Linked DNA regions of Schizosaccharomyces pombe. The protein of the gene in region 1 interacts with the protein of each later gene in a pairwise test. Each region holds a gene or a part of one and is shown on either strand. Other genes may lie near its edges.

Region 1 (9,837 bases):
CAACAGCCTTATCAACCTGATGGCTATGCTGGTAATACGATGCTACCTTTTCAGCAATCACAACCAGCTACTCAGTTTAATAATGGATTCGGATATGCTTCTCAGCCTACGGGGTCTGTAGCCGATTATGGCCAACAGCAGCAGCAAATGTATGGCTATAATGGGATGATGCCTCAAACAATGAACAATACAGGTTTTATGCAACCTCAGCAAACTGGAGCTATACCTGGATTTGCCCCCCAACCTACGGGGTTTGTGCAACCGCAACCTACAGGGTTTATGTCGCAACAGCCTGCTTCATTTATGCAACCGCAAAGGACTGGTGGTGCAGGCTTTATACAGCCTCAACGGACTGGAGCAATGCCGGCATATCAACCTCAAATGAATAACTTTATGCAACCCCAAAAGACTGGTGGATTTGCTCCACAAGCAACTGGCTTTATGCAGACTCAACCCTTTGGGGCTGCTCCATCGTTTGCTCCACAACCTACTGGATTTGTTCAACCTCAGCAAACTGGTGTAGTAATGCCACCTCAACCCACTGGATATTTGCAAGCTCAACCTACTGGACCTTTTGCATCTTTTGTTCAACCTCAGCAAACTGCGTCCTTCATGCCTGCTGCACAGCCCCTTAAACCTCAAAAGACTGGTCAAATTCATAATAGTAAAGCGATGGACACTAGATTATCATTCGTCTCTGCTGCTGATCAGGCCAAATTTGAGCAACTTTTCAAATCTGCTGTTGGTAGAGAAGAAGCAATGTCATCTGAGATCGGTAAAGCAATACTTGTTCGTTCTAAGCTTCCTACCGTTCAGTTATCAAAAATTTGGAGGTTATCAGATACCACCCGCTCTGGTCGCCTTTTGTTTCCTCAATTTGTATTGGCTATGTATCTTTGTAACTTAGGACTTACAGGGAAGCCCATACCTGATAAGGTTCCGGATGGGATTCTTAATGAGGTAAATGCCATGGTAGATGCAATTTCATTTTCGTTGGATGAAAATTACGCAAAACCAACTCAGCCAATTCCACAAGCTGCTGCTCAGCAGATGGCAGCTCAAATGTTTGGTGGATTCCAGCAAGCTGCTGGTATACCTTCTCAAATAACCGGATTTCAGCCGCAGGCGATGATGCCACAGCGCACTGGAATGCAGCCACAGATGACCGGATTTCAACAACCTATGATTCCTCAAAGAACTGGCATGCAGCCCCAAATGACTGGATTTCAACAACCCATGATGCCTCAAAGAACTGGTTTGCAACCACAGATGACTGGATTTCAACAACCTATGGTTCCTCAAAGAACTGGCATGCAGCCCCAAATGACTGGATTTCAACAACCCATGATGCCTCAAAGAACTGGTTTGCAACCACAGATGACTGGATTTCAACAACCTATGGTTCCTCAAAGAACTGGCATGCAGCCCATGATGCCGGGTTTGCAGCAACCGATGGCTCCTCAAAGAACTGGCATGCAACCCATGATGCCTCAAAGAACTGGTATGCAACCTCAAATGACTGGATTTCAACAACCTATGGCTCCCCAAAGAACCGGCATGCAACCCATGATGCCTCAGAGAACTGGTATGCAGCCTCAAATGCCAGGTATGCAGCAACCGATGGCTCCCCAAAGAACTGGCATGCAACCCATGATGCCTCAAAGAACTGGTATGCAGCAACCGATGGCTCCCCAAAGAACCGGCATGCAACCCATGATGCCTCAGAGAACTGGTATGCAGCCTCAAATGCCAGGTATGCAACAACCGATGGCTCCCCAAAGAACCGGTATGCAACCCATGATGCCTCAGAGAACTGGTATGCAGCCTCAAATGCCAGGTATGCAGCAACCGATGGCTCCCCAAAGAACTGGAATGCAGCCGATGGCGCCTCAGAGAACCGGTATGCAACCCATGATGCCTCAAAGAACCGGTATGCAGCCTCAAATGCCAGGCATGCAACAACCGATGGCGCCTCAACGAACTGGCATGCAACCCATGATGCCTCAAAGAACTGGTATGCAGCCTCAGATGCCAGGTATGCAGCAACCGATGGCTCCCCAAAGAACTGGAATGCAGCCGATGGCACCTCAGAGAACCGGTATGCAACCTCAGATGACTGGTGGTCCTATGCTTCCCCAGCGCACTGGTGGTATGGCACCTCAACCAACCGGAATGCCTGGTCAATGGGGCTTCATTAATACTCCTTTAAGTAATCTTCCTGGAATTGAAGCATTAGGACAGCAAATGATGCCAAATGCTCCTTCTGGAGGCCTTAACAATACGTTTCAGCAGAAGAAAGATATTCCTTGGGCTATCAGCAAAGAAGAAAAACGAATTTATGACCAAATTTTTGATGCTTGGGACAAGGAGCGAAAGGGTACCCTTGGTGGCAACGCAGTTTTGGAAATTTTTGGTCAAAGCAAGTTAACCCGGACTGAGCTTGAGCATATTTGGAACTTATGTGATCACGGTGACAAGGGTTCTTTAGACCGTGATGAATTTGCTGTTGCCCTTCATTTGATATATCGCAAATTGAATGGTAATGAAGTACCTGCCGTGCTTCCCCCTGAGTTAATTCCTCCTTCTACTAGAAACTTTACTGAGTCGTTGAATCAAGTTAAGAACCTAATTAAGAATGACACGAGTAACAGAAAACCTTTTGGCGCCGAAAATCAAAGCAAACTTAAGAAGAATTCGTTTTATGACAATCCTAGCGAAACGACTGAAAAGGATGCTACATTGTATCGGCACAATGATTCTGATGCATCTGCATATGTTTCTAGTGCTCGAAGAAGAGATTTTAAGGAAGAAAAGATTGAATCTGCTCCTCCTATTATTAATGATATTGATTCTGAAATAGCTTCTCTTAAAAAACGAATTCATGAAAAGAGTCTTGTTGTCAATGCTCTTGAAGATAAGAAACTGGCTGCTACTCCTGCCAATGACGTTCAAAATGACTCTTTAATTTATCGCATTAAATCTGTTCAAGATGAGATTAATCGACTTTCTACTTCTAACAAGTCACCTGAAGTTGCTTCTATGAATGTGCGATTAGAAGAGCTGAGCACCCGTGTCTCTAAAATGCTTTCTGATATTAATGAAGTTGATCATACAATTGCCAGCTTGTCGCTCAAACTTTTCCAAGCAGAGGATACTAAAAATTCTTATGACCAAACATCTCCAGAGGCTACCCAAGAACGTAATAGAACAATTTCTTCGAAGTTAGCAGAAATGGAGAAACAAAAGAATGAATCAAAGGCTGCGCTTGAGCAAATGAAAAATTATGTTACCAACATTGAGAATAACATTAGAGCAAAACTTCTACCTTCAGCGGCAAATGATGATGCTTGGCTATCTCAGAACGTTGTTGATGAATCTGTCACGCGTGTTGTCAAAGAGCTGCCTGTACCTGCCCCAGCAGCACCTCAAACTTTGAACCCTCCCTCTGTTTCCACAGTTCAACAATCGAAGCCCATTGAATCAAATACGCACACTCCCGAGGTTAAAGCTACTTCTGAATCACCATCAGCTTCGTCTAATCTTGAAGATCGTGCTGCTCGTATCAAGGCTGAAGCCCAACGTCGTATGAATGAGCGTTTGGCCGCTCTTGGTATAAAACCTCGTCAAAAGGGTACACCTTCTCCTGCACCAGTCAATTCTGCAACTAGCACACCAGTCGCCGCACCCACTGCTCAACAGATTCAACCCGGAAAACAAGCTTCAGCAGTTTCTTCTAATGTACCGGCTGTTTCAGCTTCTATTTCTACTCCTCCAGCTGTGGTTCCCACTGTTCAGCACCCCCAGCCGACTAAACAAATTCCAACAGCAGCTGTTAAAGACCCATCTACTACTTCTACGTCCTTTAACACAGCTCCCATACCTCAACAAGCACCACTGGAAAATCAGTTTTCAAAAATGTCACTTGAACCACCTGTCAGGCCAGCTGTTCCCACTTCTCCTAAACCGCAAATACCGGACTCATCGAATGTGCATGCTCCACCACCTCCCGTTCAACCTATGAACGCAATGCCATCTCACAATGCTGTTAATGCAAGACCATCTGCTCCTGAAAGACGCGATTCATTTGGCTCTGTTTCTTCAGGATCCAATGTTTCCTCAATTGAAGATGAAACCTCCACTATGCCCCTTAAGGCAAGTCAACCAACCAATCCAGGTGCACCTTCAAACCATGCTCCACAAGTGGTACCTCCGGCACCAATGCATGCTGTAGCTCCGGTTCAGCCGAAGGCGCCCGGAATGGTTACAAATGCTCCAGCTCCATCATCTGCGCCTGCACCCCCTGCTCCTGTTTCACAGCTACCTCCAGCGGTACCAAATGTTCCTGTTCCAAGTATGATACCCTCTGTAGCTCAACAGCCTCCCTCTTCGGTGGCTCCTGCCACTGCTCCTAGCTCTACATTACCTCCATCCCAATCTTCTTTCGCTCATGTTCCTAGCCCAGCGCCGCCTGCACCTCAGCATCCTTCTGCGGCAGCTTTGTCATCTGCACCAGCAGACAACTCCATGCCTCATAGATCATCACCTTATGCACCTCAAGAACCTGTTCAGAAGCCTCAAGCGATAAATAATATAGCTCCTGCTACCAACTTGGGAACTTCGCAATCTTTTTCACCTAGGATGGGTCCTGTCAATAATTCAGGTTCTCCGTTGGCAATGAATGCTGCAGGTCAACCTTCTTTAGCCGTTCCTGCTGTTCCGTCAGCCCCTTCAAATCATTTCAATCCATTCGCTAAAATGCAACCACCAGCTCCTTCTCCTCTTCAACCTAGTGGTCACGATTCTGACAATTGGAGTCAACATGGTGATGAAGAAGAAGAAGATAGCGAAGATGACATACGTTCAAGTAAAGATGCAGCTGCCTTAGCCGCCAAATTATTCGGTGGTATGGCTCCTGCTCATCCTGTTTCAACACCTCCTGTAAGACCTCAATCGGCGGCACCACCTCAAATGTCTGCTCCAACACCACCACCTCCTCCTATGTCAGTACCACCACCTCCATCTGCACCGCCAATGCCTGCCGGTCCACCGTCTGCTCCACCACCACCTCTTCCTGCTTCATCGGCTCCTTCTGTTCCCAATCCAGGAGATCGTAGTGCTTTACTTCAACAAATTCATACTGGCACTCGGTTGAAAAAAACGGTTACGACGGATAAAAGCAAGCCCATAGCAGGACGAGTTTTAGACGCTTCTGACGGCAATTCATCCGCTTGGTATGGGAATTTGTCTTAGTGGCTTAACTTTTGTTTGTACTCATATCAAACGTTGAGTTTTTGTAGTGTTTCTAATTTTTATGCGCTCTTTATGAATGATATATTTTCTCATTCTGCAGCTATCAATTATCTCTTTAAATTGGCTTGTTTATACTTTATTTACCAATAAAATGTTTATGTTTAAATCTCTAGAGTGCATTAAGACAATATGAATTTAGAAACTTTCTTGAGTCAAATAATACTCGGACATTCACAAAACTATTAAGAACGCTATATTACTTATATACAGTAGTATGTAACGCAAATGCAATTCCATTTAAAAGGACTAATGTAAATATAAATTTCCCCATACAGTACCAATCGAAACGCAAATACACGTCCAGGAACACATAATTGCGGCAACAAGATCATGATTTTAATCAAGTAACATCCGATTTCGAAGAAGGCCCCAATTTTTTTATGACAAAAGGTAGCGTAAAGCCCTTAATCTTCAACGGGTTCTATCTCTTCAGAGATTACTTCCTCAACCGTTTCCTGAATTATTTCTTCTTCTTCAGCAGGAACAGTGATAGCAGGTTGGCCAGTGATTGCACGTTCTTCCGCAACCCGAGCAATAACCTCATCCCTATATTTCTGCCACTCACTAATGAGCTGTCTTCTACGGGCTGCCAATTCACGATTGGCGGAACTCTGTTCGGCGATATCCTCTTCATCAAACAAACGATTATAATCCTTAAGTTTCTTTCTAATTTTCTTCATGTCTTCCTTTGTCAATGGAGAAGGAGGTCTCGGACGCCAGATAAACTGCTTAAATTCTCCAATCATTTCTTCACGAAGAAGTGTGCCCCTAAAATCGCAAAGTCTGTAACCGTTCTCAAGCTTATGCCTCCAAATAGTACTGCTAGTAGTAACATATCGACCACTAGGATCCCACTCCAGCTCAGTCATACCAAAGTGCTCGGCAGAACCTATTTGCTGAACATTGGCAAGAGCATCCGGTTCTTTCTTTTCGGTATCAAAATCTAAGTCGTAAAACTCCAAATCATATTGAGTAGAGGAACCAAGGGTTGCAGCAACCATAAATCTACCCTTAGGCGCCATAAAAAGTGAATTGCATGTTTTCTTATCAAAAGTAATGATATGACGGAAAGTACTAGGGGTGTTCTTTTTCTGCTCAAAACCATAAAACGATAAATTAGTTTTTACATTTGTAGAATTTAAAACTTGATCATTAGCTGAAATTATGGCAAAACGATCACTCTTAGGTTCCCAGGCAAAATTGAGAACAACATCCTTAAGATCCACTACTTCAACGGGAATATTTTTCTCACGAATTCGGAATATTTCAAGGTTAGAGAATGTTGATTTCTTAGTTTTTGTGTGACGATCAACCTTAACACATAAATAATCACCATTAGACTGCCAGTACAACTTACAGTCGGAAACATTGAAAAGATTTTTCGTACGGATAGTTGATTTTGAAGGAATACTAATTAAGGCAACGCGAGCAGGTTGATTGGTAATTTCAGGGGTCCAGTAAGCTAAAAGCTGCTCCTTGGAATCACGTCCGAGAGCATCTGAAACTGGGCACCATTCAAAATTTTGCACACCGTCGATCTTGATAGTTTTCTTGTCAACCAAAGCAAGGGAGGGTGTCTCATAAACAGAAATCGACTGACCAACAGTAACGCGAGCAAGGTATTTATCATCGGCAGACCACTTGAAAATAGGCCAAATAACTTTTTTGCCATCCTTTGAACCTTCTGGTTGAGGAGGAATCTTAAAAGAACGAAGAATACGACCAGAGGCAATATCCCAAACGAAGCAATGTTTTCCTTCATCATCATCAGTGAAAGGCATTGTTTCACGAGCCGGATGTCCGATGGGAGGAAGTCGAACAGGCTCATAGGACCATGAAACAAGATACTTCTCGTTAGGGCTGAAGTCGACAAATTTTACGTAGGGGTGCAAGAAACGAGCACACATTCCCCAAGATTCCCCACCCCATAATTGAATACCACGAAGATGAAGTGATACGAGGTAAGTGCCCATGGGAGACCATTGCACGTAGGTCTCGGTCCAGTTTTCACGATCCACAATCTGTTCAGGGACGTCGCTCTTACGGTTCCAGTTAACAGATACACGGTTACCGTAATAGCTGATAAATTGATCACGACCATAGTAATCAGTTAACCAGCTACGCAAATGTTCGCGCTCCTTAAATTCACGTTCTTCGAAACTAAATTCATCAGGAGTGCTAAAAGCTTTTTCGAGTTGATTCAACTTACGAACAACGAAAGTATGGTTTTTTAAAATTTGCTTTCCATCCAACTCTTGAACGCAAAGATCGGCGCCATCAACATTTTCAAAATCGGCGAAAACTAGTCCAAGAGACATCTTTTTTCCATTTTTTTCCTCAAATGGCATATAAAATCCATTTTCCTTAACCTTTCCAATTTTAGCAAGGACTTTTGAGCTCAAAAAACGGAAGAAATCTTGCTGCTTAGCTTCTTCGACAACTGGAGCACCTTCGATTACTACAACCGTGTCATATCCAACAGGTTTAGTTACATTAAGCTTAACTTCCAGTTCAGAAACATCGATTTCCTCGTCCTTTACGACGATTTGATCCTTAATTTCCTCAATTAGGATTTCCGACATTTCTGGTGTAGTGCCGTTGTCTCTAGTCAAGTTTCTTCACCCAGTGACTGGGGGGACATCGAAGAGTAACTTTAGAGAAATTTAAAAAAAATTGAAAGTAATGAAAAGTAGAATTTAAAAAACATGGTATCATTTAAAATAAACTAATAAAGTTGATTCTGTTTTATATTTCTTCTTTTTTAGATTTTAACTCATTCTACCGATTTTGACTATTATCATTACTGACAACAGTTTATCTGCCAAGTTCGTTCATTTTGTATTGATTTTTAGTATTAGCACAATTGTTGGATTTTTCATAAAAGTTCTTTTTTCTCTTTTTATACTGTTGATTTGTACTGCAAAACATTGGAATGAGACATTCCAAGTGTTACCGTGTCTGAGTCCTCGTTCTTGTTTACAACAATTCAACAACATACTCAGGAGCGACAATTGTCCAATTTATTCATTCTTTTTACCCCTAAAAACAGACGTTTACGATCTTTTCCTATTTTAAATTTACCCCTTTTTTTTATATTGTGGTTTATTGAACTTTACAACAGAATTGCAATTTAAATTAACAACCTTGTCGCTTTCTTTGTAACAATCCTTACTCATAAAACCGAATGGCCCCTAGAGTTGCACCTGGTGGCTCACAACAATTTCTAGGAAAGCAGGGGTTGAAAGCTAAAAACCCGGTTTCTACTCCAAATTCACATTTCCGCTCTGCGAGCAATCCTAGGAAACGACGTGAGCCTCCTACTATTGACACTGGGTACCCAGATCGCTCCGACACTAATTCTCCGACAGATCATGCACTTCATGATGAGAACGAAACCAATATTAACGTAGTCGTCCGTGTTCGTGGTCGTACAGACCAAGAAGTACGCGACAATAGTAGCCTTGCTGTATCGACTTCGGGCGCTATGGGTGCTGAATTGGCCATCCAGTCGGATCCTTCATCCATGTTGGTCACGAAGACGTATGCCTTTGATAAAGTCTTTGGTCCTGAAGCTGACCAGTTAATGCTATTCGAAAATTCGGTAGCGCCCATGCTGGAGCAAGTATTGAACGGCTATAATTGTACTATATTTGCGTACGGACAAACTGGAACCGGTAAAACATATACTATGTCTGGTGATCTTAGCGATTCCGATGGAATTTTGTCTGAAGGAGCAGGCCTTATTCCTCGTGCCCTTTATCAATTATTTTCCTCCTTGGACAACAGTAATCAAGAATATGCTGTCAAATGCTCCTATTATGAACTTTACAACGAGGAAATTCGCGATCTTTTGGTTTCCGAAGAATTGCGAAAGCCAGCTCGTGTTTTTGAAGATACTTCGCGGAGAGGGAACGTTGTTATTACTGGTATTGAAGAAAGTTATATAAAAAATGCTGGCGATGGGTTGCGATTGTTACGTGAAGGCTCTCACCGGCGTCAAGTTGCTGCTACAAAGTGTAACGATCTTTCATCTCGTAGTCATTCAATCTTCACGATAACTCTGCATAGAAAGGTATCTTCGGGAATGACAGATGAAACTAATTCACTTACCATAAATAATAACTCTGATGACTTGCTGCGCGCCAGCAAACTTCATATGGTTGATTTGGCTGGAAGCGAGAACATTGGACGTTCTGGAGCTGAAAACAAACGTGCTCGAGAAACTGGAATGATCAATCAATCACTATTAACATTAGGCCGAGTAATTAATGCATTAGTGGAAAAGGCCCACCATATTCCATACCGTGAGTCCAAGCTTACACGCCTATTGCAGGATTCTTTGGGGGGAAAGACTAAAACCTCTATGATCGTTACCGTATCTTCTACTAATACTAATTTGGAAGAAACAATTTCTACTTTGGAGTATGCTGCTCGTGCTAAAAGTATACGCAATAAGCCTCAAAATAATCAGCTTGTCTTTCGAAAAGTCCTTATAAAAGACTTAGTGTTAGATATCGAACGATTGAA
Region 2 (9,902 bases), 2.6 Mb from region 1:
ATTCAACCTGCAACCTTGACCCCTTCTTTCGAGACAGAAAAGAGTATAACCATGTTTTTAGGCTGTAGGGATAAACAAGCTGTGAGCGAAAAACTTGAGGTGGCTGCACTGTCGGAGATGAAGAAATTGGGTTACATTGAGTCTAGCTCAGAATTTGGTATGCTTGCAGGTTTAATTCCGTTAGTGCTGTTGAGCAATTTTCCATTAATAGATTTCTTTTTAGGGAAGGCACCTACAAAGATGGTTCAAGGTTATTGATTAATTTCAGGTTTTTATTGCATCCATCTCATAATTTATTTTTAATTAATGATTTAAATGGTTTTCATAATTTATTTGGAATCCAAAGGATCGACTATATTATTTTCAATGTTAGAATTAATGCATTCATCTCTATTCGTTATTCGCAATGTAGAAAACTTGTTTTATACCTTAATAAGAAGAAGTTACTTAGGGTTCTTCTAGTTTTTGGCTATATCGCGATTTATCAAAAAGTGTTATTTAAGAGTTGAATAGTTTACATTGTAGACTCATCTTCCTTCAAAAACCCATGTGAGTTTAAACCCTTATTGGTTTCGTCTGTTTAAACCGATACTTTGAATTTATATCATAGCAAGGGTAAAGTACTGTAGAACAAATGGAGTCAAGCATGCATGCGCATTTTTTACTATTTACTTCTTCAACATTATCTCCAATACATTTCGACTAACTATCATACAAGAAGCATATGAGAAATTAACATACCATACTCACTGCTATTGTAAAATGTATGGTATTCCTTTCAGAAGGTAGTTCGGTTCTTTCTCAAATAACTAAATACCTCTTCCAAGATGGAAAAGATTATAAAAGTAATCATTCAAAATCGATTTTATTAGCTCAATTTACACTCAGTCTGTTTTTCACAATTTTTGTTACAGTATGAATCTTTGTTACGTGGTTACCTTTTCGTATTCTGTTCTATGTTGTTAATACGCTTACTGTATTTAAACAAACTAAAATGCATGGGATAGCGCATTATTACGGTATACGTTAGTGACCAATATTCGCCATGATGGCTTGTTATATCTACTTAACTCTCATGAGCTGGTAATATCAGCGAAATTTCAAGCAGTTCGCGTTTTGCCAATTGCTCATAAAACTGCGATTTTTTAAGGATTGTATAATTAAATTCAATTCTTTAAATAATTGTGTTGCATTGTTACAGTGTTTGGTGGTTTCAATACGCTAATTGTAATTTTGATCTTTCTGATCTTGTTTTCTCTTAGAAGAGGAAAATAGGTACGGAAATTACTGAACCGATTGGGAATTACCAGGATTTATGACTATACTGCAGACTACTGGTTTTGCAATTGCAAATCAGTTGGACGGTATTTATCAGACGCTGGTTTTCTTGTTATCTTCATCAATACTATTCGGGTACATTCAATATCAATATCCTGTTAAATCCGAGGATTTCAATATACCTTTTCCAAATTTTTCCATATTTACAAGTTGAGGCTAAGCACTTATTGTCATAAGTTGGTGGACAGTCATTGCGCTGCTTAGATCATTCTGTTATTGAACCACCGTTTAACTCAACAGCCTGCTTCGCGCAAATAATATTTTCTTTATTGTTTCTACGGGATTTTTTTCATTTACATACCTTTACATTTTTGGTTTCATAAAAGAATTCTGTAGTACAGAATTGTTTATGGCACCATCTAACAATACAATAATTTACATTAAGAGAAACCTTTTACGTTTACCTTCGTTGGCATTGGAATAATTCATCTATTGATTCTTTACAGCTATGCAGCAAACATACAAACCAAACACCTCGGCCTTGAAAGACGGTGCTCCAAAGGCTACGGTGGATCAGAAACAACTATTACCTTGCAAATATCGTGTCGGTCGGGTTTTGGGAGGCGGAACATATGCGACGGTTCGTGAAGCCGTTCATATCGAAACTAACAAGTAAGTATATTTTAAATTCGAGTTGTTTGCTGACCAAATTTTCATAGAATGTATGCGGCTAAGATTATGAATAAAAAGATGATGGAGAAGAAACAAGACTTTGTAAGTAAAGACTTAAGTACTTACAGCATCCTTATTTACGTTTACTAACATGTTTTTGGTGGTATAGGTGAAGAATGAAATTGCAATTCTAAAACGTGTTTCTTATGAACATCCTAATATCTTACACTTGGTTGATTTTTTTGAAACTGTGAATAATCGTATGTCTCCGATTTCGATTTGATGAATCAAATGTTATTGTGATGTGTTTTGTTCACTAACCCTTGAAACAGTGTACTTAATCACTGAACTGGCCACCGGTGGTGAACTTTTTGATAGAATATGTGCCAAAGGTTCATTTTATGAGGCCGATGCTGCTGCTTTAATGCGTACTACCACATCAGCAGTTAAGTACTTGCATGACAATGGAATTGTACATCGAGATTTGAAGCCAGAAAATTTACTTTATCGCTCTAAAGATCCGAATTCAGATTTGTTAATTGCCGATTTTGGATTGTCCCACTTTTATGAGGATTCTCAATACTATATGCTCATGACGGCATGTGGGACACCAGAGTACATGGCACCCGAAGTCTTTCGTCGAACCGGATATGGAAAACCTGTGTAAGTTGATCAACTACCATTTTAATTCAGAAGTTATGTATCTTGACTAATACTGTTTATAGAGATATGTGGGCTATTGGCGTTATAACTTATTTTTTACTCAGTGGTTATACTCCATTTGCTCGACCTTCTCAGGTTGAAGTTATAGAAGCAATTTTAGCTAACGAGTACACTTTTAACGATCCTTGCTGGTCTGGCATTTCAGAAACGGCCAAGGACTTTATTAAAAAATGTTTGGAAAACGACCCTTCGAAACGTTTAACTGCTGCTGATGCGTTGAAGCACCCCTTCCTGTCTGAAAAGCGTCCCGCAACCTCCAATTTGCTTCCAAACGTCCGGGAAAATTTCAATGCAAGAAAAACGTTCCGTACTGCCTATAACGCTGTACGTGCTTTCAACACTTGGAAAAAGCTTGAGAATAAGCATTAATTATACACATCTTTTCTTATAACTTTCTTATTTTATCTTGTTATGACTTATGACTTCTTTATTATCTTTTGCCCTCAGTACATACTTTTTTGGTATTAACACTCTTACATGTTAAATATATTCTTTGTGATTTGGAATGCTTGGACCTATCATGTTCTCTACTTAGTTTTTAAAATAGCCTCATACAAAATGCTAAAAGTTATGTCGATGTTTTAAAAAGTAACGCTACCAGTTTTCTGACATTGTTAGACTGTTGACGACAGATGAACGCAGTTGTTTAATTCTCTATATATATTGCAGATGTAAAATTTTGAAATTTTAGCATTTATGACTATTTATGCTTCAAAAATAAAATGACCATTCAGTTAATCTGAAATATAAAAAGAGCTTGGTTATTTCCATATTTTACTCACTGTGTGAGTTCAAATTGCTAATTTCAAAAAGATTCTTCAATACTTATTATGTGTAGTTGACATTAAACACGCTGAGCGTGTTTTGTAAACTGGATCAACAAAATGAAATACAACATCTCAGATCAGAATGAGGTTGCGTACTTCATACTAGTAAAACCAAAAAAATGTAAACTAGAAAAGATTTTTATTTACTAAATTTTAAACCTACAGTATAAGAAGCAGAAGGGAGGTGGTGATCAAACAATTTGCTTTGAGAATTTTTTTAAATATTTTGAACAAAATTAACATCACAGTTTTTTATTCGCAATGTCTCGTTCCTTTTTATTTGTCCATAAATAAATAAAAAAACCAAACAGAAGTTAATACCCATTAACCAAAGCATAAAGACATAAAATTTTAAAATTAACGTTATCCAGATTCAACACAATAACGAGAGTATAATAAATAAAGGTGTGGATAAAAAATACAAATTAAGCAGAAAAAACGCTAACAGATCCATCAGACTTTCCATCCACCAAAAAGCGATCTTTATATTGAACAGAAGTAGGTACTGAGTTAGGTTCGGCTGCTATGGAATCAGAGTGAGAAGGAATTGAACAAATCCAGTTCCGATTAGATACAGTATCAAATATCCTAACATTTGGTTCATCAGATGCTACAGCAAGACGACCTTGATACAGTCTTAAGGAATTCACTTTTTTCTCCATAGGTATAATATTAATTGGCGAGCCACTTCGTAAATCCCATATTCTAACAGAATTGTCATAGCTTCCGGAATACAAATGGTTGGAATCGAATTGCAAAGAAGAAATAGGAGCTGTGTGCCCAATGAAACTTCTCACAGGAAGACCGATTCGCAAATCCCAGATGCGAATAAGTCCATCGACAGTCCCACTAGCCACAGCAGCATCTAAGCAGTCTAAAGCTCTGATGAAAGGTTCTTGTTTGTAAGTGTCACTGACCAAAATTTGACTAGTAGATGTATCATGAGTTTCCGCCCACACAAAGTCCAAAGTTTGAATACAACGCCCCGTAACGATATCCCACTGTCGAACAGTTTTATCATCGGCACCGGTTATAAGCACATCATCACTAGATAATGCTAATGCAGTGACAGGGGCAGTGTGAGATGTTAAAACATTTGTGGCATTGTCAACAGGTTGATCGGGAGGAGAATTAAGGCTCTCTTCAACAGGATTATCCTTATGAAGTACATCATTATCTAAATTCCATAACCGCACGGTTGTATCCATAGAGCCAGTAGCAATAAAGGAGTCTTGAATCGCCAGACAAGAAACATAATCAGAATGACCTTTCAATGAACCCAGGTATACAACACCCGCCATATCCCAAACTTTCACAGTTTTGTCAGTCGAGGCCGTAGCTAAAGTTCCAAAAGGATGGGAAAAATCAAGACTCGTAATATATTCAGAATGAGCTTGAAACTGCTTTACGAGATTTCCAACTATATAATTTTGATTCACAGATGATTCAGTATTCTCTGGTGCTTTAGAAAAAGCGGAATTCTGTTCAAAGTAATCTGATACCACTTCACTAGCCGTAGATGGCCTTGGAGCTCTTGGAGAGATAGCCCTAGCAGATAAATTATCTGTATACTTGTCGTGTGTATCATCAAAAACATCGGGGTTAGCTCCATTTTTACCCGCTTCAATTTGTGAAGGAATTAAATCATGAGAATATGAGCTATACAAATCTTGAGCATCCGAATCTAACATCAGTTTCTCAACAGAAGCCAGCTTGGAAGTATACTTTAAATTCTGTTCCTCGATCTTGCTAAGGCGTTCAAGAACTTGCCTTCTTCGAGAATAGAGTTTGGACAACTCCAAATCAATCTGTGCAAGTTCGCTAGAATTAATGAGCTTTTGAAGACGAAGTTGATTGCATTTCTTCACCAATTTTTCGTGTTGTAAGCTATCGGGCTTAAATTCAGAAGAGTCGGAAACCATTGACACATCAATCGATGATACATTTTTTTTGCCTTCCTTTTGGTTGGAGCTTGTTATCGGCAAAGGTGAAGTGTCGGAATGATCGTGAGCAGTGACTGAGTAACCTTCAAGCAAACTATAAGACGTTTCTTGATGGTCCGGAATATCAAACAAAAGAGGATCGGGCAATGTTTGAGCTTGAACTGGATCAACACCGTTATGTGATAAAAACCATTCATTAAATTGGGATTTGGATAAACGATGGCGTAAAAAAGGATGAGAAAGGCCACGCACGAACAGAGATATGGGATTTCTTTGAGGTGTAACTGGACTAGAATCGAAGAAATTCCACGTTGTATAAGCTATGGCTTTAGTCCAATAAAAAACATCTTTTCTTAAACCTTTCGAAATAGTGGGAGTTAACGAATCATTTGGAATTTTTTGTGAAGAATCTTTGCTCTTTGAATTATTATCAGTCATAAAACGAAAAAAGCCAACAATTAGAAGAAAAGCTAGTGAACTTTAATACTTTAAGGAATTAAAATAATGAGGTAAAGGGTTCAGATCTCCCAAACGTAAAAGCGGTTAAAAAAGGTGGCTTTACGGAGATAAATGATATATCCAGATGAAGGCCTTAAAAAAGAAAGCAATTTTTAGATGAGTTGAGAAATAAAATCTTTTCAATCGACGCTACGTGTAAGGTATAAGAAGTTCAATAAGAGTATGATTCCCGCACGTACTTTTACAAAACAAAAACCAATGGGAATTAAGCAAACAACTAAAATTTGTAGTAAATGTCCAGCTCTTTTAATCTCAGCTTGTATTTGATAAAAATCAAGAGACAATTGAATATACAAGCTTTTTTGTCACTGGTGTGTGGAAGAAGGAAGGAAAAAGCAACGTAAGTACTAGAGGGATGAGCGAATCCAATGGCGGTAGAGAAAGTAGAAATGGAATATGTAGGTCAAAAATGAAAGAGAAGTAGAAAAAAAAAATCCATACTATGAATAAAGTTATTACTTCAACTGTTTGGCACTTGTAAGAAATTATCCTCATCGAATTTATCTTATTAGCACTATAAATAAATTCACACAATTTACTGAAACAAGAGTACCAAAGTTCATAAAAATTATAAATTATATATCTTACTATAGACTGCTAATTTTACTGGCCCTTCAAACCCTCTTACAGTTTTATTGAATATATATATAAATTGACATCTTAACAGTAATGCAATAAAATAAATAAAACATTTAGTAAAGCGGAATGATGGTTCAGACATTACATATTATTTTTGTAATAATGAGTAGAATAACTCAACATGTTTCTTTCTTGAATTTTATATTTTTTTAACCTTTACTTTAATTTGATTTGTTATTTTTATTAAAAAATTAAAAAAATTCATAGGAACTCATCATCTATTGCCTAATTTAAGACTCAAAGACTCTTCTTTATTCAAAACTGAATATTATTTAAATACATATAAAATATACATATATGGATACAAGAGATTCGCTAATTATCAATTTCAATCGCCAAGTTTATATAGAAATTTCATATTCAATATTCTCATTAAAAATACGTTCTAAAAGTAATTAGATATAAACTACTAAGTTTAACCCCATTCAACCAAGTCCCGTTTAGCTCAATCGGCTTAGAGCGTCCGGCTTTTAACCGGAAGGTTGCGAGTTCGAGTCTCGCAGTGGGAGTTTACTTTTTATTTTTTGTTTCGATGCAGTAGTGAGGTTTTCACTTCCGGTAAATTCGTAAACAGTAAATAGTTATTAAAGCCTAATTCGACGTACTTTTTTGTACCTATTCATTGGTTTCATGGTGAATGATGATTATACAAAATACAAACTTATTATGACTGGAAACAAAGATTGACTTGCTCATTTTAAATCTTTTGGCTTATAAGATAATTAATTCTCTTCATATTTGGATACACAAATTACAAACCAAATTCGCATAAAAATATTTTCATTACAATTATTAGTCTTGCCTTTAAACCGAATTCATTTTAAATGCTGTTAACAAAAAAAAAACCTTAAAATTATAATTTAAGATTCTGACCTCTTTAGAAGTAAAAACAAGCAAATCTTTCAAGAAATTTCTAGTCTTTGTAATTTTGTTCAAAACTTCCCAAACAGCGACCTTGTAGTTGTGCTATTTTCTTTTTTTCTTTAAACAATCATAAACCAATCTACCAAAATTTTCATTTCTTTTATTAACTTAAAATCTTTTCTCCAATTCAACCTTTTACTTTTTTTTTTTAAACCCAAATAACTTTGTACGATGCAAAAAGATTTAGATCGTAAGTCCAAGCTCCAATGGGTTTGTTGATTCTAGAATCTTGCCGGGAGCAGCCACATTTCCAGTAGGTTGAGCAACGCCATTGGAAATAATGATTTCTTCAGGTACACCGGCAGGGGAAATCTTCCAATGCTTATATTCACGACGTTCTTCAATATAATCAAACGCGTATTCACCTATTTGATCAGCATCCACACCAATTTCTTCAGCATCAGGGCTCACTCGAAGTTGAAGGTAGGGAATTTTGTCCGTAATGAATAAAATGATAAACGTGACAACAAAGTCGTATGCACCAACAGCACAAATATAGGCCATTTGCAAGCCTAGTTGGCGCCAATGGTGATCAAACCAACCACCTCTGATTTTGTTTTCACCAACATAAATACCATCCATTGCTGCGATATAATCAACGGCAAACAAACCATTCAAAAAGGTACCCACAAAACCCGCAACACCGTGGATAGCGAAAATATCCATCGCATCATCAATGCGCATATGTGACTTTAACTTAATGGCCCAATTGCAACATAAGCCAGTAATAGCACCAATTGCCAAAGAGGCATGAGGACTCACAAAACCAGCACAAGGCGTTGCAGCCACCAAACCGGCAACAACCCCGGAACAAAAACCTATGGTTGACCATTTCCTAGTGCGAAAAATGTAGTCGTAAATAACCCATACTAAACCAGCTACAGCACCTGCTAAGTTTGTGTTGGTGATTGCCATAGCGGCTCGCAGATTGGAGCCGTAAGCACTACCACCGTTGAAACCAAGCCAACCAAACCATAGCAGAGATGTTCCCAATACAACATTGAGCACAGAATGAGGGCGAAATTGTTCCTCAACAAATTTGGATCGACGTCCTAAACAAACCGTATACGCCAAAGCTGCAAATCCTGATCCAACTTCTACAGGTCCTCCGCCAGCGAAATCGTATACACCAAATTTAAAAGCCCAACCATTTGGATTCCAAATCCAACACGCTATGGGACAATAAACGACAGTGAGCCACACAAATGTGATGATGAGCATTGGACCAATACGACCTCTTTCAGCGGCGGCACCAGTGAAGAGGGCTACAGTAATTGCGGCGAACATTCCTTGAAAATTTGCAAATACAAGCTCGGGAATATTATTGCTACCAGGAGAGTAATCGGCAAGTGTGCGAATAAAGGCAAAATGACGAAGATTGCCAATATAACCAGAGGTTCCAGTTTGAGAAAAAGCAAGAGAATAACCCCAGAAATACCATTGGAAAAAACTAACACATAAACCAAGCATAGAGAGCATGATAAGAGCCAATGTATTTTTCCTTCTTGCTAAGCCAGAGTAGAAAAAAGCCACACCAGGCACCATAATAAGACACAATGGAGTACAAGCTAAAATCCAACTAGTGTTTCCATAATCATAAAATTTATTAAGATCTTCGTGCAAAACATTTCCACCACTACCACCACTAGGTGTAGCTGTAGCTGGCAGTACTGAAATATAAACAGTAGAAGTTGCTGTGGGAATTGAATTCACTGACGACATGGCAACGAATTTTTTAGAAAAAATTTTTTCTTTCTTTTTTATACCTTTGAAATTAAGAGAGGGATTTAAAAATGATTAAATGTTAAATTGGATTGGAAAGGTCCTAAAGATTCTGAGTTATAAAACTTTTTGGTCAACAAAGAAGCAAAGCACAGTAATAAGACTATTAGTAATTGATTCAGACACTAGAATCAGTGATGGTTAAAAATACTTAATATGATTTAACCAAAAAGGAAGTTGTTACGTAAAAGGGGAACTCTTAAAACAGAAAATCAATGATCTGATCTATATTTTCAAAAAGAAAAAAAAGTAAAATATCCAAGGGAAATGGATAAATATTCTAGCATTTATTAAAAAAAAACACTATTTTCTCTTGAATTTAAGTCAAGATCGAGATATAATCTTCAGCAATTTCTCAAACGAATCAAAACTTCGAGTGACTAGATGTAAACAGCACTTTTACAAGTAGTATAATCTCAAGAAACGATGTCGACTTCCACAATCCCAAACATTCAAAAATTCGTGAAATTGACAATGGCGCTGTTTGGGGAAGAAGTTGTGTTTGACGCTCACCGAAAATCGCTATATATGTCAGTAGTAAATAACGGGGGCACACAGAGGCGACTTCCAGCACGAGTAAAAAAAACCAGGTAGA

What was found.
Region 2: the proteins of tif302 (region 1) and mdv1 interact in a two-hybrid assay, tested with the Schizosaccharomyces pombe proteins (2 studies listed by BioGRID).

The regions. Positions count from the first base shown.
Region 1 is NC_003424.3:4,308,634-4,318,470, reverse strand, and holds tif302 (translation initiation factor eIF3b (p84)), read right to left. Parts: upstream 7,911-9,837; 5' UTR 7,893-7,910; coding exon 5,715-7,892; 3' UTR 5,410-5,714; downstream 1-5,409. Other genes in the region: pan1 (actin cortical patch component protein PanI), read left to right, coding at 1-5,250; kinesin-5 family plus-end directed microtubule motor, bimC subfamily Cut7, read left to right, coding at 8,495-9,837.
Region 2 is NC_003424.3:1,730,972-1,740,873, reverse strand, and holds mdv1 (CCR4-Not complex subunit Caf4/Mdv1), read right to left. Parts: upstream 6,280-9,902; 5' UTR 5,882-6,279; coding exon 3,926-5,881; 3' UTR 3,567-3,925; downstream 1-3,566. Other genes in the region: potassium ion/proton antiporter Kha1, read left to right, coding at 1-258; calcium/calmodulin-dependent protein kinase Cmk1, read left to right, coding at 1,787-1,950, 1,998-2,052, 2,120-2,210, 2,283-2,613, 2,676-3,042; plasma membrane ammonium transmembrane transporter Amt2, read right to left, coding at 7,709-9,247.